2 linked regions of the Daphnia pulex genome follow. The protein of the gene in region 2 interacts with the protein of the main gene of each other region in a pairwise test. Links are inferred from orthologs where the notes say so. Each region holds a gene or a part of one and is shown on either strand. Other genes may lie near its edges. The genes, in order: protein N-terminal glutamine amidohydrolase-like and BTB/POZ domain-containing protein KCTD9-like.

Evidence for each region.
Region 1: the proteins of BTB/POZ domain-containing protein KCTD9-like (region 2) and protein N-terminal glutamine amidohydrolase-like interact in binary tests that used the Homo sapiens proteins (3 or more experiments, as listed by UniProt). The link is inferred for Daphnia pulex from reciprocal best matches to the Homo sapiens genes KCTD9 and NTAQ1.

Annotation. Positions count from the first base shown.
Region 1 is NC_060028.1:391,604-403,010, forward strand, and holds protein N-terminal glutamine amidohydrolase-like, read right to left. Parts: upstream 5,957-11,407; 5' UTR 5,820-5,956; coding exon 5,770-5,819; intron 5,694-5,769; coding exon 5,540-5,693; intron 5,477-5,539; coding exon 5,328-5,476; intron 5,264-5,327; coding exon 5,044-5,263; 3' UTR 4,764-5,043; intron 4,694-4,763; 3' UTR 4,443-4,693; downstream 1-4,442. Other genes in the region: SR-related and CTD-associated factor 4-like, read right to left, coding at 1-367, 444-1,482, 1,543-1,728, 1,808-2,297, 2,357-2,770, 2,842-3,194, 3,255-3,515, 3,578-3,739 and 2 more; vascular endothelial growth factor receptor 3-like, read right to left, coding at 8,299-8,645, 8,711-8,840, 8,909-9,028, 9,100-9,199, 9,251-9,398, 9,465-9,692, 9,761-9,899, 9,987-10,262 and 5 more. UniProt on the Homo sapiens protein: Mediates the side-chain deamidation of N-terminal glutamine residues to glutamate, an important step in N-end rule pathway of protein degradation.
Region 2 is NC_060017.1:7,087,470-7,099,914, reverse strand, and holds BTB/POZ domain-containing protein KCTD9-like, read right to left. Parts: upstream 5,009-12,445; 5' UTR 4,872-5,008; coding exon 4,818-4,871; intron 4,756-4,817; coding exon 4,634-4,755; intron 4,598-4,633; exon of another isoform or gene 4,506-4,597; intron 4,268-4,505; coding exon 3,745-4,267; intron 3,688-3,744; coding exon 3,552-3,687; intron 3,470-3,551; coding exon 3,410-3,469; intron 3,344-3,409; coding exon 3,241-3,343; intron 3,176-3,240; coding exon 3,145-3,175; intron 3,074-3,144; coding exon 2,957-3,073; 3' UTR 2,739-2,956; downstream 1-2,738. Other genes in the region: uncharacterized protein LOC124196876, read right to left, coding at 1-2,513; 4-hydroxyphenylpyruvate dioxygenase-like protein, read left to right, coding at 5,345-6,110, 6,232-6,383, 6,457-6,569, 6,631-6,805; ornithine aminotransferase, mitochondrial-like, read left to right, coding at 8,306-8,525, 8,593-8,722, 8,801-9,119, 9,203-9,295, 9,361-9,633, 9,709-9,847, 9,914-10,080; GPI ethanolamine phosphate transferase 3-like, read right to left, coding at 10,296-10,448, 10,507-10,726, 10,795-12,445. UniProt on the Homo sapiens protein: Substrate-specific adapter of a BCR (BTB-CUL3-RBX1) E3 ubiquitin-protein ligase complex, which mediates the ubiquitination of target proteins, leading to their degradation by the proteasome.

The sequences.
Region 1 (11,407 bases), on a different chromosome or scaffold from region 2:
CCTCCGTAGCGATCCCGGTTGGAAGATCCCCGATCGTTACTGCGCGGTGGCAGAGGAGGAAGCGGAGGTCTCCTGGGACTCGACCAATCAGCACCTCCCCGACCTCCCCGACTGCCAGAATGATCTCGATCACGATCACGATCGCGATCCCAGCGGGAAGGTGGTGGTGGCTCACGATCGGACCAATCCTCTTGCTGCCTCCACCTCGGAGGTGGTAAAGGCTCTTCATCCCAAGCGGGTTCCACCATATCCCCTCGAAATCCTCCTCCTCCTCCTCCGCCCCCTCGACCTCCTCGACTGTCATGACCAAAGTGTCTGCCTCTCATCGGGCCGAAATTGTCCGGAACTGGACCGAAAGAAGATCCACCTGTAGTGGGGAAATAGGAATCTTAATCAAAACTTGTTGGTATAAAACTATAACCAAATCATTTTGTTTTTCTTACCGAGGTGCGGCTGTCTGGGCATGAAAGGATCGTCACCGCCAATTCCTCTGCCGGGTGTTCCAAACGCATCCGGTGGGCCGCCTCTGAGGAGACGAATTCCCATTTCAGCTGCGGCTGCAGTGAGCGGAACGCCACGAAGGGAAGAAGCCAAGTTGGGAGAGAGGCCGTACTGGTCCGGTACGGAAGATCCTGGGCCGGCCATGTCGGTGCGAAGATGCAACGGTCCACCGCCGCCTCGTTCCGCCAATTCCGAGCCATTATTGTTGTGGTGGTGGTGATGGTGGTCGAGCGATCCAGCCTCGTGATTAGCCAGACTTCTCAATCGATCCAGCAATCCAGGGCCGTTATTGCTCTTGTCGGGCGTTCGATGCTGCAGCGGCTGGCGGAGCTGCAACATATCAGAGCGATCATCCATCTGCTCGTTCCAGCCTCCACCACTTCTGTTGCGGCCATCCATTTCTTTGTGATGCTGCTGCTGCTGGTGGACGTCATCGTCGGCTTCCTCCAGTTCCATGTCGTCCGCATCGTCGTGAGATGGAATTTGCGGAGGCGGCTGCTGTTGCTGCTGATGCGGATGGCCGGGTAAATGCGGATTGAAAACGTTGAAGAAGCCGGAAGGACCAGCCGGCTGACCCATGGAAGGCCCTAATCCTTGAGCTGCGGCAGCTGCCCCGAGTCCGGCCAAAATCGATTGCCCGAGCAGATGAGTGGCCATTGCGGCGTTGGTGCCAGCACCGGCCGCTTGACTCATGAGAAGATGGGCGGCAGTACCGGGCGGAGGCAGTCTGAGTCCAGGTGGCATTCCCAGGGGCACTGGTAAGAGTCCAAGTGAATGAGGAGCCATGGCTGCATAAGTGGGCAGATTGGCCGGCAGTGTCGTTGTGGCAGTATTCAGTGAAGATGGACCCGAGGCAGTCGACATAGCCTGTCCACCTCCGCTGGATGGTTCATTCATTTCGGGAGTAGGAGGACCCGCTTCCGGAATGGGAATGAAGCCAGTAGGAGCCATTGGAATCCTTTGCTGCCCAATCTTATCGTCCTTTAAATACAAACAGAGATGTTAAGAATAAAATTCCGGAATTGAATTCTGTTGAATTACCTGATTTAAATGATGACGCAACCAAGGAGGAAGTGTTTCTTCATCAAAGGATCCACCTTCTTCCAGAGCTTCCAAGTCCGTCATTTGGCTCAATCTTTGCCATGGAACGTAAGACACTCCCTGGTCCACCTCCCAAAAGTCTTTCCACTCTTTAGCCTTGACTCCTTTGCCCGGTGCCCACGCCAGCTGTTTTTAATTTAAAAAATATTAAAACCTTGTCAAATCTAGAAAATTAAACTAAGAAAAATGCCAGTCAATCAATTACCGTGATGGCTTTGCCTTGCAATTTGTGTCCAGCCAATTTAGTCAGTGCCCGGTAAGCGTCCTGTCGTCGGTGCATGCAAACGAAAGCGCATCCTCGTGGTGGGATCAGGTCAATCGACAAAATCTCGCCGTACTGGCCGAACGTATCCGACAGCTCCTCTTGTTGGACCAGTTTGCTGAGGTGACCCACCCACAGGGTGGTGCTGCAAACGCTCAGCGCCTCTTTCTTTGTAGGTGGCAGACCTCGCCGCTTCCTGTCGCGTTCCTTTTCACGTTCCAGACGTTCCTTTTCCCTCTCTTGGTCTCGAGACCGAGATCGAGGCCTAGCACGAGTGTTGCGACTCCTGGAACGACTCCTGGAACGTCTTCGTACACCACCCCGATCACGAGATCTCGATCGCGATCGGCTCGACCTTCTACCCCCGTGACGGCCACCACTTCGGGCTCGTCTACCACGTGATCCCGATCGACTTCTCCGTCTCTCTCGTTCTCTGAGTTGGTTTAAAAATTGGTAACTCGCCAGTATAGTTAAATGAAATGTAATTCTTACTTTGATCGTGGAGGATCGATTTCAATGACTTCACCGTTGCCTGGTTGAAACAAGTCCTCCCTGATGGTCGGAGGTTGATGGTGCTGTTGGAACTGAGCTGCGGCGTTCGGCGGATGCGGAGGATGGTGATGAGGGAAGCCCACTGGAGGTTGACTCAAACCGGCGGCTCCCATCGGCATGAATCCGGGTGGCGGTTGAGTAAAATCAATTTGACCGTATTGGCCGTGGTTGTTGGCCGGCTCCCAAATCGGTTGCTCTTCGTGTTGCTGTTGTTGTTGATGGTGGTGGTGTTGTTGCTGCTGCTGGTGATGGTGGTGGTGATTCGTGCTGATTGAAGCCGACTGGACCGCTGGCTGTGCAATTTGTTGCTGGAGGCTTTGAAGATGTCGCAGAATGTCGGGATTAGTCAGCAAACTGCAAATCGATTGGAAAACAAGGTTTAGCATTTTAGTTTTGTTTTATCCAATAGGTTTGTAAGCACTTACGTTCCAAGTGATTCGGAAGTGGAATTTGATGTAAGAGCAGGTTGAACTGGTTGTTGTGGCGGAGGCGGTTGTGGTTTGGCTTGCTGTTGGCCAGTTTCCCTAGCGGTTTTGTCCGGCTCTTCGTCTTCTTCATCGTAGTCAAAGTCCAAGAGCTTCTTGTTGAATCGAATTTGCCCCGTATCGTTGGCATTCGCAGGGACTTTGGCTGGCGTTAAAGGCTGAGCCGCTAATGGATTGCTCGAGTTATTGGGAGGTTCTTGTCCAAATAGATGTTGCAGGTGCTGCAGCCTGGTAGCTAGACTCATTTCTGTGCTACTCAGGTTGGGAAGATTTCCCATTACCAAAGACTGACTCTGCAAAGGACAATCTTTATTAACAATGTGCATCTTTGGGCACAACTGACGGTAAGTTACCTGCACCTGATTTCCATCATTGGATGTTTCTTCAAAACTAACTGCTGCCTCATTGTTGCCATTAAGATTAGTAGTATTGTCCTGAGAATTGCTTTTGCCTGCAGATATCCCTGAACTGGAGGCCCCTTTTGAGTTTACATATTGCGCTACTTCCTTGAACTTTGGATGACTGGAATCAGCCATATCAAATAGTGGCTGGATGACTTCAGGAGGGAACACTGCATTTTTCTGCCACAAGTTGAGCACCCTGATGACTTTACTCTGTGTAGCAGTACAATGTTATTTAGATCAAATGATGTCAAGTTGTTAAATAAGTTGGTTACCTTTTCTTCGCCAGTGCACTGATAAATGAAGTAGAAGGTGTATGTTACGTTTTTTGAGAACCGAGGAGCAAACACATCTTTATCTGCTCCGAATTGATGCCTAGATTGTCGAACTATAGAGTCAATCACATATAATCCAGGGATTTTGTATTCAGGTCGACACTGAAATCAAGAAAAAAGTTTAATGTCATTATGTCAACTAAAAGCGTGTTTGACAACTGGTGGCCAAAATTACTGACTTTTTGCAAAAATTTTTCGACAGACTGAACAACATGTTTGTAAAACTTGACTGCTTTGATGGCGCCTTTTGTGATTGCAGTCATTTTTGCCTTGGATATAGGTGGTTTCATGTCGTAGAGCGACGAGAGCTGTAAAATTTTGATAATATTTTGAAAAATACATCCCCCTAGTCACAAGTTGAAAGATTCGAGCGTTTACCTCCGCATTAAAAGCCTTAACAGTATCCATGGTGGTGGCCTGCAATTATCCAATAACGCGTTTAATAATCCTTGAGTTGAAGATCGATGCAAAAACACTAGTTCCGGCAAGAAATTCACAATGTTTTCAAGTCCATTTCCCACACAAAATTTTCGACGCCAAAATTTTTAACGAAAAAAAATTCTCAATGGTGGACGCCCGGAAATATGTGGCATTGCCACGTTTACATTGAAAACTTTATATTGAATATTTAATTCGGTGATTTTTATTATTAATGACGAATTCAGATTTTTAAAATTATTCTTTCCTCTTCTTTAAAAATAAAAACTACTTTAAAAATTCTTTACTTTTTTAAAAATCTTAAATGTTAGAAACTGACTGATAAATTATGCTTCAGCAAGATGTTCATGCTTTCAAGAAAACAATATTTTTCAGTTTGGGGATTCTTTCAGATTTATTTATGGTTCAATTGCCAGGGAACATGAATGAATTCATACAAAAATATCACATAACAACATTTTCATATCATGATTTCAGCTGATCCACCTTACTGCTTGTCAATCGGACAGGAGGTAGGACATGGAGTTGGCACTGACACTTCTGTCCAGATAGGAAATCAAAGGTACCAAGCCTGGCATCACAAGAAGGGCAAACAATTTTACCCTTGGTCCAGGAAGACTTTAATACAGAAGAAAAGGGATTTTGGTCATTCTTCATGAGTTTGTAAAATATTATTGAGCGTACTTACTGTCTGAACTAGGGTTTCAAGCCAGACTGGCAGTTTCTCATCCTTAACATATAATATTGACTTATCCAAGAGACACTCTGAATTATCCTCTCCCTGAGAATCAGAAGGTCCATGACAAGTTGTCAGGCAATCTTTTTCTTCAGGTAAAATCAATTTTGTTCGACATTTTCGACAACGAACGTGAGTTTCTGACATCTTTTCGTCTGCTATAAACGCGTGTGAATAATGCGCAAGCGGCCAAGCGCTGAAGATAATATATTTTTTTGTATTTTGTCAAATTTCAAGAGAATTTCGAGACAAAATCCCGATAATTGAAAATTTGACCGGGAACTTCTCGACTACTCATACTTATAAAATCATTTAAATTATTTGCGGATGTGGCAGTAAAAATTGGGGGATAATTTGGGGGAGGTTTCAACCATTTGGCATCCTTAATCATGTGTGATCTGTCAGAAGCAAATCTTGTTAGGTATTGCTCAGCTGGTATGACTCTAAAATATCTGGAGAAGAAGAATATTAGTTTACTGAGAATGGTGAAATAATGGCAATCAATTAAAATTCAACCTTTGAAATTGAGTTTGCAGATCATGATCTAGGCCCAAAGCTTTAGTTTTGTACTCTTCAAATGAACAGGGAAACGGTAATGTAGTATCTAAATCATAAACATCAAAGTAATTTTCTTTGGCGTGGTAAATGAATATCACATGATAATCCTACAAAGAAATATTTAAAAATCAACATAAATCTATGCATTAGTGATTTAATTTATGTTTTACCCAGATAACTAGCCCTTTCTCATCAGTGCTCTGCTTTTGACTCCACAACGGGATGGTTTGCTTTTCATTTGAAATGAATACAGCAACACACTTGTCAAGAAGTCCAGGGTGATTTTCTTTCACATATTTGCATACATGCCATACATTCTCCTCGCTTCTTGTATGTAACAAATAAAAAGTATGTCACTATTCAGTAAAGCTGGGGCAAAAGAAGTCATTTTAATATTTACCAATAACAGCTTGTGTAGACGCAGTCTTCTGAATTTATTGAAATAGACATTGAATTAAATATCTAGTTGAGGGACGAATCTAACTCATCGAATTTCGGTGTTTTATTTTTTTATTATTATTTATTATATCCTTTTTCGAAGATTCGAACGGTTTCAAACTCGCAAAATTTTTTTCTTCTGCACTTTTCCCTGCGTAGAGACAAATTTCTACGACAGATGTCTCTTTACTCTTTAGGGCTGTGGCCCGGGCCATGAAAACCCGGGCCACAGCCTGTGCTGAAGGAAAAAAAACCAACCCAACTCGACCCACCGAGGCATATTTTCTACGGGCCGGGCGACGGGTTGAACCACCGGGTCCGCGGGCCAACCCGAGCGGTGACGCCATCTAGTAGTCACATAGAGAAGCTCGTTATTCTCTATGCCTGCGGCCTCAAGAAAGACATTTTGTTGTTTGTTTCAGGTTAGAGGAATTTTCCGACCTCAGTTTAATCGAGATAATAAATAATTAAATGAATCTGCATTCGAGAATAATTCGAAAGAATCAAAACACATATGACATATCCAATTTGCTAATTTATTTTAGATGTGGCCGAATAAATTTTTATCTTGATGCAACCTTGCCCCATTCCCCCTCCAGTTTCAGTTAAATTATTCAAAATGGTGGCCACCGTCGACACCCGACGAGTCGACAGTAATACAGTATGTGTTTTTTTAAATTAGGCAGTACACATGATGTTGGAAGTATTATCGTTACCAGATCGTTTCTACAATTCTCTACGTTCGTTTGGTAATTTGTATTCGTTTCGCGTTTCCCCAGATAAATCGGTAAAATTGTTAGCATAAATTCTTTATCATCAAGTGTGTGGTCTGTTTTTTGCGCTTAGTTAAACGTAACTATCAGTCAACAGGAATTATTTTATTGAACCCAAAGTTTAGATCTCATGATCTGATCGTGACTTAAAGCAAGGTTTTTATTTTTATTATGCTCATATCTTGCTTCATTGTTGCATGATTACAAAAACTTATTGAATTACTAAAAAGCATGGTATTACACCCCATCCTATCTTATATTGTGATACTATATTAGGCTATTTGATACTTGAAATAGGCTTTAAACTGTAAACGATTTGAGTATGTACAGCTTTATAGAACAGAGGACTTATAATCCTGTATAGCTTTATAGAACAGAGGACTTATAATCCATGTGTTCTTGATTTAGATAATTCCAAATGAAGTAGTCATGAGACTGATGCTGCTGGTATTGGAGCAATCAAGAGGCCTAGCCTAACTCTTTCGACATTCATAAATTTTTCTACTTAGCAGGTATAGTTTTTTTCCATAACTCTCGAGTTTTTATTGTTATGATTCCACCACCACTCCACACCTCATTTGTTCATAGTAAAGTGGGTGTAGAGATTGAGTGAAAATGAAGTTGGAACACAATATGGCTTCGATTTGAATAAAAGATTGTGTTGTATTTAAAGCAATGAGCACATTTAAGGAGTATTGATTTCTTCCAAAGCTTGGGCCCATTAATGTTATTATTATTTTTTCATTAATATTTATAAAATGTAATTATTTTGTTTACATTCAGCCACCAGGGGCCTTTGAATTTCTATCCATCAGGCGGCGACGACGGATGTCAATAACAAATTTGCTTCCGTCAAATGATCCTGTGAGTCAACTCTAATCAGCTGAGAGCCTGCAGACTGCAGGTGACTGTTTGCTTCCCGGAGTTTATGTCAAAATGCTTCGACCAGCAATTTATTCAGTTGAAACATTTCAAGTTGGATTTCACCATAAACTTGTTACTGATTTGGTTATAGTTTTCCCCCCATCCCTGTCTAGTACCGTGATGATAGGTGCCATCAGGTAAATAACTATTTAACAATCAATTGTATTAAAGAAGTTTTCGTTTTCTTGTACAAGTAAAAAAAAAATATTAACTTTGACAATCTATTATTAATCTTCAATTCATGCTTAGATGTGTTTGTACCATGTTTAACTGTTCATCACAAATTTTACAATGATAGTTCTTACAAAAATGTATGTCTTATAAATTTTACTAGGGAATTTCCAGTTTGGCAGTCTCCAAAATGTGGTGCCCAGGCCAATTCAGTTCTGTGGAAACTCAACTGACCAGAACCCTCTAGCCATGGCTGATGAAGGCTACAAGAACATTTCGGTAAGTCATCCTTTTCTGATTCATTTGATGGGAATTAGATGAAGGGAAATCTAGTTTACCACCAACTTTATTTAAAATAGCTACAGTAATCAATAGAAGCCCCTTCCTCGTTTAAGTGTCTTGATATTTATGGGTCACATTTTTATTAATTCAAATCTACATTAAGACGAAAATGTCAACGTTTGTTTTCCCGCACGATTTGTGTAAAACATGATGCAGGATACGTCTTCCTTATCGATGATGCGCTACCGGCTAGTTTTGAACAGCGTTGTGTATTTTGCCAATAGAAGAAATTCAGACCATTTTGTGAAGATAACTGATCATAGTTAAGCAGGTCACGTTGCCTATTTTGCTTGCAATTCTGAATAACCAATAGAATAGTTCACATCAGCTGATTGCCGGATCTCATTTAAAATTGTCACGATATCTAAACGACTGGTCGCAGTAGGTTCGAGTATCTCGTTGATTGCACCATTTTCACACGAGGAATTTATATTTAAATAGTCGATGCTGACAAATGACTCCACGTATTTTTCGATCATTTCTGACAGTTGAGAGAATCTCGGTCTTTGCTTTGGATCTTTCTCCCAACAATTTTTCATAATTTGGCCGAAGAAATTTGGAGAATATTCCGGTGGTGTCATTCGATATCCATTTTGAATATCTTCCATTAGTTCCCTGCCATTCATTCCTTTTGGTAATGAAATAATTCATTCGAGAAGTTCGAGGGGATATTTCATTTGAATTGTGTTTCACCTGGGTATGGGACTTTGCCGAGGGAGAAAATTTCCCACAAGAGAATCCCGTAGGACCAGACATCCGATTGACTGGAAAAAATTTTAGCTGTAAGCGATTCAATCGCCATCCACTTGATCGGTATTAAGCTCTGTCCATCAAAGAGAGATCTCACGTGTTATTGAACATTATTATAATTTTATTGATTTATTAGTTTACCTCTCCCTTTTTCTCGTATTCGTAATCCTTCATTTGCCTTGCCATTCCGAAATCGGCAACTTTGACGATTCCGTGATCGGCTAAAAGGACATTGCGGGCGGCCAAATCGCCGTGCAGAATCTGTTAGTCAAATCATAGACAATTCGAAATTTCACAATTTAATAAGTCGTAGGTCATTTGACTGCACAGACCTTTTTGCTGGACAAAAATTCCATCCCACGAGCTATTTGCAAAGTCCATCTGATTAAATCCACTGTTGATACGGGAGGGTTTCCTTCGTTGATGTTGTCGCTATAAGAAAAAAATGAGATTCACGAATCGATTTGTGTCATAATTAGTTACTTTTCATTAATTTCCGTTTCCGCCGTTTCAGTAAGTGATGACAAGTCACCGAATTCGTTCAATTTATTGATGAATTGGTCGCGATGTTTTGTCAAATATGTTTGTATGTTGCCGAAACGACAATAATCGATGATGACCAAAAGTTCTTCTGCAAAATCAAGGCCGTAGATTTTGTTAATTTATTAATTTTCGTTTTATTGCTTTTTGATTTCACCTTTGTTATTAGTTTTGGTGCAGGCCCCTAGTAAATTAACGACGTTAACGTGCGATCCCATGTAGATGAGGATTTTTAATTCTCTGATGAGAGCGGCCAAGGCGTCATCAGACTGGGCAGTTGCTTTAACCATTTTAACGGCCACTGTGGTCACCGTTTCAGTTCCTCCAATGCCCACGGCTTCCGCTTTGACGACTCGCCCGAAACAACCAGCTCCCAGTTGTTGGCCTTTATTTTAAAGAATTTTTTTCACTTGACGGAATCAAGCATAAATTTGTTTTTAGAGAATAACGTACCAAGTCTGAGTCTTTTCCTGGGAAATTCCCATTTCTTGTCGTAGGGCAGGAATTCCGTTTGATATTCCATCGGCACATCCGGGTCGATTTTGCCTGGGTCGCCATTCAGTCTACTTTCAAGGGATTTTTCCACCTTTTTCTAAATGAGGATTGACATTAGGTTGAATTTTCAAATGTGACGAAGTAAGGAAACATGTTGAGAGAAGAATTCCTTTTCATCACTTACCTTGTCGAGGTAAATTTTGATACTGATTCCAACTCCAATTGCAAATAAAACTGCAAAAGTTATTGAAATTCCGTTGACTGTAGCAAATGATTTTGCTTCACTTGAGTCGATTATTCCAACTCTAATGAAACTGACAATAAACTGCCTGTGCCTCGCTTCGCCACGGCTGTTGTTCCACCGACATTCGTAGGTTCCATTTTCAGTTGCTCTTCCTTCGAGTGGCAAAACGGACGCGATTTCAGTTTCGAAGATTATGCCGGTGTATTTCCTGTTATTCTTTAAATCAAAGTAATTGTTTGGTATAAAGAACGGCTGCTACGAAGAATGGTAAGATTAGTTTACCTTGAACCACTGAACTTTGACATGTTGCGATAATCGGTTGCACGTTAAATTCTGGGCTGTTTCATTTTTCAATGCGATAGAATTAACTACTGGTTCGTTGTTTATTTCTGTAGAAATGAAAAGAGGTTAAATTAAATAATTTTTGCAATTATGAAATTAGCATAATGGAAAGATTTAAAAAAAAAGAAAAAAAATCAATTTGATCAAAGCGTTACCTTTTATTGTGAAAGAAATCTCTTTTCGATCCCTCCTTCTATTGTTTACTGAACATTGGAATCTTGTGTAGGGTGTGCCAAGGTTAACGGTGTGCAGGTACAGTCGTTTGTCAACTCTATACGTATAAGTTTCACCAATATTATTCTTTTCCGTAGTGAGGATACCTTCAGAAAGTCAGAGAATTCAGAAAATGGTACCAAGACTGCTTTCAGTTTGCCAATGCTTTCAGACCTGGTGGTGCTGGGTTTTTGTCATCAATGATTTGCATTCCTCCGTTGCCTTTGATTTGATAGGACCACATTGAAATAAGGGACGAACTCATTCTTTGTAATGCTGAAATGCTGCAGATTAAAGTGACGTTACTTCCTTCTACGGGATCGTTTGGTTCGCCGACCCTTTCCAGTTCCATTCCTATTAAGAATTAAGTTGTGATGTAATCACACTTTTTTTACTTCAAAATTGAACTTCATGTACCGTACCTATTACGCCTAAAAGGAAGGGTGCAAAGTCTGTAATTGGCAGCTTATCTTTCGGTAAAAACCCTTTTAAAAAATTTGGGAAGTCATCGTCAATTCTTTTTTCGGAAATTTTGACGCGTTTTCCTTTGATGACGTCCAGCGTTCCAGTACAAAAGTAAAGAGTATCTTCATTTAGATTAACCCTAATGTTCTTTATTGTGAATCCTCTCGTCGGTTCAAACGACCACACCGAATTGTTTTGGGATAACCAAACCTTCATCAAGTTTATAATTTTTGAAAACTCTTTCAAAATTGAATAATTCCATTAGTGCTACCTCAGAAAAATTGGTGAGTGGATTTCCCTTAAATAGAGCGACGGTGACGTTCGGATGAGTGGGTTTGCAC
Region 2 (12,445 bases):
ACCATCCAGAGCAGTGAACTCAGTGTCAAATAGTGAAGTAAGAGACCAGCAATCTGACAAGGAAGTTTGCCAAGGACTGGACGGACACCTAATGTAAAGGCAACCATCAGCAATGCGACTGATATCCAGGTGTTAATTAAAGCGTGTCGAGTGGGTTGGGTCATCTTCAGTCGCCGTCGGTGAATCAGATAGCAGAGACAGGCTGTCAGGTGGCACAGTAGTCCAATGACACTGCCCACGTAGACCGGTGATGGTAGAAGATGTAGTTGTCCAGGAAAGTATGCGCTACCAGGAATACTGCCACTGCCACTCTTTGTTGTCACCTGTTCCACTAGATTTTGTTCATCCTCTTCGTCCTGGGTGGTAAACGCGGCGAAAAAACCGAAGCCACAGCAGCACTGAAAGGTTACTGAGTCTCCTTCCGACATTAGTCCTGATGACTTCAAAGTTTGGCATTGCTCTGGGCTCCATTGATCTGTGTAATGATTCCATCTAGCTCCGACTAGACGGTCCGACGTGCCAATTGCCCTACTAAGACGTATCGTCATAACGAAGGGTGTTGTGCGATTGATTAAATTGCTGACAGGGCCAGAAGTAACCCCTAATACAGGCGTTGCAAGTGGTTTCGATTTAGCGCTGACAAAGGCGTTCGTGCTGAGTACTAAGGAAAGTACGACACTCTGCTCCGAAAATGCTCCTTCTGAAATCAAAGGAACCCTTACTGAAGCTTCAATTGTTCCGGTTCCGTTCGAGTTCTGTCCACAACTTGCTTGATAAGGACTTCGTGCTTTAGTTTTAGAATCTGATTTACTGCTGCCTGTCTCTGACGTTCGTCTCCACGTACAAGTTCCTGCACTCAGAGATTTCCCGATAATTCCACACTTTTCAATCACCAGACTGGAAGATCGATATTCAAATTCTTGAGTCTTGAGAGGTGCTTGCTGGAGTAGCCCGACAAGTCCGTGACGCGAATCAGCCAACAATTGTGGATCTTGTGTTATTAGGATTGAGTAGATATCCATAATAAGGGGTAGTAGTTCGGGATGTTTTCCACTGGCTTCAAGGTAATTGTGCAACGTTTGTGTAACGAAAATGGCTTCGTGCGGATCTGTCAAGCTAATCACATCTGTGAGGTAGGATTTTAATCTACGAGCACTCTCCAATGCAGAAGTTTTGCTGAATGTCAAATTGGTCTTGGCAAACTGTTCTAATACTTTGGTAACCTCACTGAGATAAAAGCAGGAATTAAGATCTGGTTCCTCCCAGTGCCCTAGTGCTCCACACAGCCGGAAGGCCTGTAGATTCGGATTGGCTTGGCACGGTAGAGTAATCTTGAGGTTTGCCATGGTGCGTGGCCAGCTGTAACGACCTTTGTTGGATGCAGTGACATGGCTGGAACAAGTAGGTGTTGTAAGGGACAGGACTGTAACTTCAACAGATGCAGTCCTACCACCCCATGAACAAGCCCACATACCACCATGCCGGGGAAGTAGATGACGGATGAGTAATTGGCTTTCGGTCTCCGTTCCCTGATCTGTTCCACGGCTGCTAGTTGTTAATTCTACAGCTCCACCAGGCGACACGGTAGCAGTTTGGTTATTCGCATTTCGATGAAGCCAATTCGGTGCAACAGCTCGTCCCGCTTTGAATTTGCAACTCAACTTTAATGGATCACCTTCAAAAACAAGTTGGTTAGTGTTGGGTCTGATCTCGACACCAACTGGATCTTCCGGGGGGCATGCTAGTTCTTCCACGACTAATCTGGTTAATGAACGATCTTTTAGTCGAGGCGGCTCCAAACATGTTCCTTGAAGTCTGATGTTACGTGACGACGCGTAGGTGAGAAGAGCACTCAGATGACAGTCACACTTGAGGGGATTTCCATTTAGTTTCACTCTGTCTAAGCTCATAACATTTTCAATTATTGCACTGGAAAAATTTGTCAAAAAATTATTGCTCAGGTCTAAATATTTGAGATTCTTCAACGTTGAAAATGTATCAGCTGCAATTTCTTCTATTTGATTGTTCTTAAGTATAAGTTTCTGAAGCATTAAGTAGTTGCCGTTCACAAAGTCTTCACCCGATAACCTTGTAAGGCTGTTTCCAGAAAGATCATATTGTACAATATTTTCCACCAGTAGCGATTGCAGGTTTAACTTCTTCACAGACACTATAAAGGCAGGATTCTGGCACTGTACTTTAATTCCACTCTTGAGTATTTCAGGCTTTATCTTGCTATATACATTGAGATTTTCTGTGGTTTCTTTATGATTACTTGGGTTAAGCTCTTGCTCCACACTACCTTGCGATAGCTTTAATTTTTGTTCGGAACATGTGCATGCAGATGGACAAAGTGATGTGGCTTGTAGATCAGCATTTGTCTTGGGAAATTCTGTTTTCCCTTTTGCTATTGAAGATTCCAAAACACACAATAATACAACTAAAGTTAGTATTAGTGGGACACCGCTATTGACGAGCTTCTTCTTGCCATCAACTGAAGAGTTTTCCCGCATTTTTGCATTCTGAAGATAATATCACTCCCAGAACACAAATATTTCAACAAAATAACACGGAAAATAATTCGTTGTGAAATCCAACCAACATTGTAGGAAACGTTGATGGTTCTGGGCGTTGGCTTTCTAAGATGAAAGACAATTAACACACGACGCCATGACACTTCGACCCATCTAGGACCAGTGACTCGAGACAAGTAGACATAAACAATAATATCCGCGCAGTTTACTGTTCCACATATTGTATTTTTCTTTAAATTGAAAACCCGCACCTCTTCCTAAATCTAAATCATTAAAATCAATAAATAGGAACAAAATAATACATAGTTAAAACTGTCCACTAATACAATTCATTTATGGATTTTAAAATAAAAAAATTTAATGTAAAGCTTCATATTTCGTATCAAAACGAGGAGGGAGTAGACCGGCGAAAAAAATTATAATCAACGAATAGCCTGAGACATGTGGAGGGGATTCAACATTAATTCCAATGTTGTATCTTTTAAATTTGCTCCACGAAGATTGGCCTCTTGTAAATCACTTCCAGACAGGTCGCAACCCTACAGAGTAAATTTTTAAAGTTTAAAAACCAATAACCGGAAAGTATAGATGTATTTAATACAACTAATACCTCCAAATCTGCTCCAGCCAAAACAGCTCCCCTGTTAAACAATTTACATCTGTACATTATTAAGGACGAAGAAAACACCAAATTTATAATATTTACCTCAAAGTGCAGTTTTGAAGATTTGCGTACTTCAAGGTTCCCACACGAAGGTTTACCCCAGCCATATTACTCTCTTCGAGAACAGCTCCCTTCATGTTGACTCCTAGAGCACATTCAAAAACATTTGGATTAAAAAATTTCTTTGAATTGAAAATAAGTGCTGAATCACCTTCCATATTGGCTCGACTACCAGCAGGGTCTTCAAAATTGCAGCCACGTAAGGAAGCGCCTAAAAAACAAAAAGTTTTGTGTTTTAGTTTTTAAAAATAAAATCAGCTATTATTTAAAAAATGTTCGATGAAGTGTTCTACCTTCCAATGTAGCACACAGCATTTTCACTCCAAGAAGTTGTGCCCCATCCATTTTTGAGCCAGATAGATCGCAACGCTCCAAATTACACCAACTCAAATTTGCTCCGGACAGATTACAGCCACGCATGCACGCATACTATAACATAATACGTTAGTGGGTTCAAGAATATTTACGTCGCCATGACTCGCATACTTTAAAATTTATGCTCCTTAAATCAAGTTTAGAGAGGTCCGCTTCGGCCAAATTTACGCCCTGAAAGCGAAGTTCGGTGGTTGGTGAAGTACGAACCAAAGCTTTGATAACTTCTGCCCTTGTCAATGGTTGTTGCTTTTTCTTCGACTTTTCGTCATCGGCGAGAGATTCAAGTTGAGGTACCAATGACTCGATTCCAAAAAATTGAGCTTCTTCTAGAACCCCTTGCACGTTAACTCCAGAGTCAAGTATTAATTTGCCATGCCTCAAATAATTAAGAATTGGCTCAAAGTATGTCGGACTACGGTCAATCAAATATGCGCCACTGGCATCAACTGAGCTCGGGCTAAGGTTGAATTGTCCGGAATCGGAAGAAAACATCCGTGAGAGCATACTGAATGGCTCTTTAGCTGTTAAGGTCATCCGTGTTGTAGTGAAAAGTTTTCCACCAACATTCAGGGCCACCCATTCTTTTTCTGAACAAAAATCTCCACCTTCAGATATGTACAGCAGTTCATTGTCCCTGGAAATACAAAACACAAAACAGTATCATTAGACTACCTGGAAATATTTCCCTGCTACTTATAGTTATAGCACTATAGACAGTAATAGCCTATGGAGGTTTTTTTTTCCAGAACTAATAATCTATAGGCAGAAAACATGTAATCCTATCCTACCAAGGTCAAATTAAGGATTTAAAAAACAAGAAAAAAAAACTAAATAGCTAATAAAAGGAGTAAAACATCTGTTGTCTCCAACAGACACACATAAACAACTGAATCGACTGCCTGTTAATTCTGTGAATGAACTGAAGAAATCCATATTGGTTTATTCTTTTTCATCAAGTGGACTGGTGAGTTGGCAATAAACAAGCTTTTAACAAATGTACCTTATAAATAAAATGTCATGTATTTCTCCACCATGTTGGTTAAAAACCCTCTTTCCTTTTATTCCTAGAGACAGACTTGCCACTGCGAGGAATTCAGTAAATGTTGAGGGAACTGCAATGACCTATTAGATTAGAAATAGTAAATTGTAAAAATGAAGTATAAATGTAAAAAAAAATTTCAAACCTTTCTGCCTGATAAAGAATTTCCATTCTTAGATATGGTCACTCTTAGTGTCATGTAATAGTCAAACTTTATAAGGCCTTTTGATAAACAAATATTCAGAATTCAATTTTCAGAGAAAGGAAAAAGTGAAAAAACAATGTTATTTTTTCCTGCAAATTAGTTTTGCAAGTTTCACAACAGCGTTGTGACGTAACCCTATATCACTTACATTAAATCACGCTAAGTTAAAATACCAGTAAAATGTGCTCTATTTTGATTTTTCTTATTGTATGAAAATGTTCACGAAGGAAATGAAAAACAAAATTTAGTAATATTTTATTTTTAAGATTTATATTATTTTGTCGTTTTTTTTGCAGACGAATTTCAGACCAGATTCAATCCCGTCGTCTGCATAGGCCGACAACCGTGATTGGTAACTTTCGTCAGTTTATCACGTAACCATATACGTATTGTTTTGTAGAATTAAAGATAACTAAACAGCAGTTTCAACCGCGGTTTACTTTTCGGTGTTTGCGTCGTATTTCAAAATGCATTTAAATGCCTTACATCATGTTGAGTTGTGTGTCGCAAACGGAAGGAAGATCGTTTCCTACTTTACTGACAAACTTGGCTTTTCGCTGAGAGCACGGAGAGATACATTGCTGAGCAGCCAGTGGGTAGTTGGAAGTCAGAAATCTACATTTGTCGTAACGGAAAGGAAAAAACTTAGCAGCAAGCAGTTCGTGCCATTTTCTTATTTCCAAACACCTGTTCATGAGGTTGACACAGTGTTCAATGTTGCCTTGGAAGTGAAAAATTTGGAAGGTGTCACCGACAGGATGCAGAAATTTGGAGGACAACTATTTCATCCTGTCACAGAAGTGGAAGATAAAAAAGGAAAAGTGAGGTACTCAATTGTTGGTTCCTGTTGTGGCAACATAATCCACACACTTTTGGACAAATCTCAGTACAAGGGATCATTCCTCCCCACATTTAATTATGAATCTGAAGAAGATAGCAAAATTCAGGGTGAAGAACCATTCACACATGTTGATCATTTGACTTATGTGTGCTATCCTGGTGAATCGCCGGGTATCATTCAGTGGTATCAAGACTGCTTGGGCATGCAAAAGTTCAGAGCCAATCCAACTGAAAATCTGAAAGAAGGCTTAGTAATCAAAGACGGAGTTGGTATGAGACTACGAGTGATGGACTATTGGCCCTGTGCTGAATCTGGCGTTTGTAATTCAAATCCCGATGGCATGGATGAAACATCGTTGAAAATTGTTATCGCAGAATCTCTCCCAGGAATAGGTAAATCTCGATCATCTAATGTTAGCTTCCTAAATTGTCAGTAGGAAAATAACTTGTTAAGTCTAATAATACGAGCGAACGTAGTATTTCTTTAATGACGTGGCGATTCACGGCAAAACAGAGAATTCGCACATTGGCGCCTTCCTTGGCGGTCACGGAGGACCAGGTCTTCAACACATCGGTCTCAGCTCCCTTGATATCACCAGCTGCGTGAGTGCCATGATCCGCAAACAGGTTCCATTTCGAACACCGCCTGCAGCTTATTACCGCAATGTACGTAAATGTGACTGGAATGCAAATTTCGTGGCTCGTTTTAACCTCAAATGAAAAATCTGTTTTTGTTTAGGAATTTAAAAGGAAAGAAATCCAAGAGGCTGGTTTCGACATCGAAGAATTTCAGCGGTTAGGAATTCTCATCGACTCCGAGGCGGATATCCGCGATGAAGTGCAGGACAACAGGTGAGCTTTTCTTGTGTGTGTACCGATCCATGTTTTCTAATACGTTTTAATTATCAAACAGGTTTCTTTTGCAAATCTTCACGCTCCCACTGTTCAACGAAGAAACATTTTTCATGGAAGTGGTGCAGAGAAAAGGAGCGAGGGGTTTTGGTGCCGGCAACGTAACGGCACTGGCCCGATCGATCGAAGAAGAGCGGCAGATTATTATTAAGAACCAATCTATCGCCCAAGTTTAAATATCTTTGTGATTTGAATGGACACAACTTGTTGACTTTGAGATTTCCGAAGCTGAATATAGACGAAATAAACTTTCTTTGTTGCCAAGGTCGCTTTAAGTTGTTTTTCAATGAAAACACGCATCTCTTCTATTCTTTTAAATGTCGATTAGATCTTGACGGCCATAAAAACATAGCCTTCCTGGAGGTGTGTGCTATTCTTTTTTAAAAGAGTCGATGACACATGGAGAGAGGGGGGACGCCAACCTTTAGTTATTGACCTCTTTTCCCTGGGCACAGTTTGAGATGAGGATTTCGATAAGGGGAAATTTAACTTGGGTTAAAAGAAAAATTATCTTCTTACCTTTTCAAACATTTACGTATAACTTACGTACATGTTGTTGAAAACCCGAGCAATTCACTGCGATTAAACTTCTTCTTTTTTTACTTTCGAACTGAATAAATAGACTGATTAAATTTTTGTAGATTAGATAATACTGGAAGATATTAAGGATTACAATCATTTGGATTTACAATACCAGATAAATAATGTGCACTGCGACACTGCAAATATTCAGATATATGTTAATAAAATGTGTAAATTTGAAATTTGATCAAAACCAATGCAAATTAAACACAACGTGACATCTAACGGCAGAGTTGTAAGTGATGGAAACCCACAGAAGCCATTGGATATGCGCCAATCGTCCAATGTAGTGACCGAGTTTCGCTAGGAATACGGACATTCTACCTCGCGACAGCCTCCGGGACACTCGTGCCACCTGAGACGACTGCTCCACTGCACTGTAAATAATCTCTCGTAAGTAGAACTGCTTTCTGCTCTACAGTTTTGCACTCCCGTTATGTCTTATAGAAAATAGCTCGGAAAACAGGGTCTGACGCAACACTGATACTTTATTGCGGGAATTTCCATCTCCTATTCTCGACTGATTTTTACTCTAAGTGGCAATCTGTTGGTTCAATAAGAGGCGTTGAAAATGGGACGACTGCACAACCGATCGATGTCAATTGTGACAAGCTTAGGGTTTTTTTCTTGGTTATTCAACAGTTTTTATTCAAATCCGGAAGTGTTGCCCTTGATTTAACGATAAACATTGCCCTGAGACTTGCAGTAATCACATTGTGAATATTTAAAATTACGAGATAGTGAAGGACGACTAGTAGAGAAAATGATAGCGATGCTTCACGCCGACGCAGTAGAGATGTGAACTCCCGAATGAAAATAACTTCCGACCTTGAATACTGTTTTCGACCAAGAGCATGAAAATCGTAATCTGACACTACTCAGTAGAGAAGAAATGCGTATGCATTGAGAGTAGTATGGCGTGATGCGAATACGTCTCTCTTTGTTTTCGAGCGTGATTGAATTCCCTAGCCTAACTATACAGACATAATGCAAATTTTGTTTCAGGTTATTATTTTTATGTTTGTACACGTCTACACAAATATAATAATTTTTTTTTTCTTAACTGTTGCAATTAATTAAGGATTTGAAAAGAAATGGCTACGTCGATGAACAAGACCATTCGGCCAATGGCCGGAATTATCAACGGCTGGAGGGCTTCGTTAGTTCGTACAAAGGCGACGAAAGTATCGGCGGCCACAGCTGAAGATTTGTCCGCCTCTATGGGAGCTGCATCAGAGGCCATTTTCAAACGAGAGGATAAGTACGGTGCCCACAATTATCATCCCTTGCCCGTAGCCCTCTGTCGAGGCGAAGGTCGGTTAAACATTTGCAATGATAAATTGTTGTCTCCATGATTGTTGAATTGGGTAGTTCAATTTAGGAGTGCGAGTTTGGGATGTCGAAGGACGCGTCTACTACGACTTTTTAAGCGCTTATTCAGCCGTCAATCAGGGCCATTGTCATCCACGTATCATCAAAGCCTTGCATCAACAAGCTGACGTATTGACGTTGTAAGTAATTAAATTACATTTTTCGCATGCCATATAACGTACGGGTCTTAAATTATTCGCAAATTCTTTCTCTGTTAGAACTTCGAGGGCTTTCTATTCTGATGTACTAGGAGAATACGAGGAATATGTTACCAAGCTATTTGGATATGACAAAGTCCTACCAATGAACACCGGAGTTGAGGGTGGCGAAACGGCTTGCAAATTGGCTCGCAAGTGGGGTTATACTGTCAAAAAGATTCCGGACAACCAAGCAAAGATTGTTTTCGTCGAAGGCAATTTTTGGGGTCGAACGATGGCCGCCATTTCGAGCTCCACTGATCCTTCTAGCTATGCCGGATTCGGCCCTTACATGCCTGGCTACGTAATCATTCCTTACAACGATGTGGCCACCCTGAAGGTATCTACCGTCATGATTATGTTTTGATTATTACTCTAGAGTTGCCATTATTCTCCGTTCTATTTTTCATTTGCTAATAACAGACTGCTTTGGAAGACCCTACCGTTTGCGCGTTCATGATGGAGCCTATTCAGGGCGAGGCTGGAGTAGTCGTTCCAGATCCGGGTTATCTCAGGGTAAGAGAATCACACCACCTTAAATTATAGCGCAAATTCGTTAATGACTTGACGATTTAAAATAGAGCGTGAGAGAATTGTGCACTAAAAACAACGTACTGTGGATTGCTGATGAAGTGCAAACAGGATTGGGTCGGACTGGCAAACGTCTGGCTGTTGATCACGAAAATGTTAAGCCTGACATTCTGGTTCTCGGTAAAGCTCTTTCCGGTGGTGTTCTTCCTGTGGCTGCTGCTCTCGCCAACGACGAAGTAATGTTAACCATCAAGCCAGGCGAACATGGATCAACATTTGGTGGCAATCCTCTGGCTTGTAAAGTGGCTATGGCAGCATTGCAAGTAAACAAATCAGCATTCTCTCAAAGTTTGGGCCTTTCGCTGATGTCTTAATCAAACAAAAATTGCTGATTACAGGTACTCGAGGAAGAAAAGTTGGCGGATAATGCGGAAAAACTTGGAAAGATCCTGCGAGATGAAATGAGGGAACTTCCTAGCTCAGTCATCAAACTAGTGCGTGGAAAAGGATTGTTAGATGCTATCGTTATCCAGCCAGGTAATAACCAAATTCATTTATCATGCCCAAGTTACCGATTACTAAATAAAATTTATTATTCTCAAGAATTTGACGCGTGGGAGGTTTGTCTGAGGCTGCGTAACGAAGGACTGCTCGCCAAGCCAACCCACGGTGACATTATTCGTTTTGCTCCACCACTGGTCATCAATGAAAAGGAAATGCTGGAATGTGTATCCATCATCCGCAAAGTTATTCACTCCTATGTCAAGTGAAAAAAGAAAGAAAGAAAAAATGATTAAGCTTTTCATAAATTCTTCCATTCAATAATGTTTTTTTTTTTCTCTCTAAGGGCTTCCTTTCTGTTGTAATCGTTTCCCTTTATAAAAGCCGGCAACGGACAATCCCTCAATTGATTATTTCCCTCTTTGAATACTTTTTGTCTTTTGATCGATTGTCTCGGGTTGAAAATGATAAGAACGAAATATATTTACATCGTTGCCTGAAAAAGGAATAAAGATGCAACAATCCCCAACGAAGTGTAAACAGCGAAAAGTAGCTCGTAGAGAAGTCGCGGAGCAAAAATTTTCCAAACCATCAGGTGGCGGCGGTGTAATGCTGCAGCGCCCATACAGCCAAACAACTAAATATAAAATTAAGTAGTATTAGAACTTTCATTTAATCTTCGTTTTCCTACTCACGCGCACAGCATGGAAAAACAAAAAGTGTAGCCAGCCATTAACTAATAACATTTGCGAGTCTTTGTTCTTTCGTGTCACGTTCGAAAGTGACACGATCGGGACGGACATGGCGTGTAGGAGCATAGAAAACGCCGTGCTATAACTGACAAACAAAACTGGCAGCACGTTAGCCCATTCACTTTGGCTATCGGAGTGGGATAAACCCACAAAAGCAGTTTCCCTTTAACCCAAAAAATAATTAAATAGGTGGAAAAAGTTACTATAATTGATATTATATAATATTTTTACCATGGAATGTTAGCGAGGCTAGTATGATGTCCACCAGCAAAGAAACCATGCAATGACAAAAGTCCATAAAGAGGCCACATCTCTCCGCAATTACTTTCTCCGGTGAAGAGTTGAGAGAATAGTACAAGATTGGCCAGTGCCAGAATAATACCTGGGGCCAGGCCATCACCAGCTAACAAAATGGCCAGCGTTGACAGTAGAATGACCAGATGAGATATCTTTTTGCGATAGTTTGACATCTTACCCAGTTCATTATCGAATAAAAACGTATAAATATCATGGCAAAGTTTTACGATAAACACAATGTAGAACAATCTTGGAAGGTACACGAGTCCAATTGTGTCACTGTCGGTCAGAAAACACGCACTTTGTAAAATCCAATAGCACCAGACGATCATGACGATAAATAGGTTTTTGCGGTCAAACGGAAGGTATCGTTTGTAGAGTAGATAAAAAGCAATGCAGGACACTAAAGCTGTAGACACTCTTGCAAAGACTATCCAGTTAGTTCCAGAAAGACTATTGAGGCTCCTGTGAAGGCTGTGGGCTTCACAAGTAGGAAACTGTTCTTCACGGCAGCGAAAAAAAGCCAATCCTAATCGAGTTGTCAAACTCAATGCAATCCGAAGTATCCACTGACGATTTTTCGTTTGGCGTCTGAAGAACATCGGAATCCAGATGAATGATTGTGCCAGGTAGTGAACGACGTAGGGTTCTTCAACAACGAAACTGTTTGAAGTGTAGGAAGCAGCCATGACAAATGGGGCGAGATAAGCAAATTTAAACAACTGCTGAAGTCGAATCTTCCGCATAGTCCCAACCAAATAAACGAACACTGGTGTTAAACTTAATCCAAGAGTCAACACAGAAGACCAACTGTGCACTAAGATGGAGAGGAAGGCTCCAATGATACCGAAATATTTGACAGGTTTCATCCAATTCAATTCGGATTCGATGAGAAAATTCGCATGTAGAAACAGTGAGCAAGTAAAAATTGTCAATCCAATGGAAATGGACGTTAGATCGAAACGAGCCCACATGGAACGGCATATTTCTTTAGCTTCAGTGAGGAAAATCTGCGCTGCTTGAATGAATTCTTCGAGTTTTTCGTCCGGAGCGCAACAACTTGAATCGGAGGTACACGAATTGGAACACTGTTTCATTTGTAACCGTTCGAAAAGATGGACAGCACGGTCAAACTGACTGCTGAGATGTTCGAATTCTTTCTTCGGAAATGACGAATCACGGCTATAGGTTTCCAAATAACGCCAGATTTGCTTGGTATTCAAATAAAGAGCTTCGGAGAAATATGACTGTGCTATTTTCATAATGTGCTCTTCACTGGGGTGAGTTTCTCTCCACAGCTGCTCGGGAAAAACAAGGTCTAATATTACAGAACCTAAATTTGAATACGGAATTGGTATGCCCAGCAGTACTGACAGGGTTGGTACAAGATCCACTTGGTTGATTGATGTTTTCCTGGAGGTGTTGAATTTGATATTCCATCCTGGGCTGTATGCAAAAAAACCGGCGTTGACTTCATCTGGACTGTCACCACCGTGATCACCGCTTCGTGTCATTCCGTGGTCACCCATGACTAGGAGTAGTGTTTGAGGATTCATGTTGCTTACGATTTTTTCGATTAAAGAGT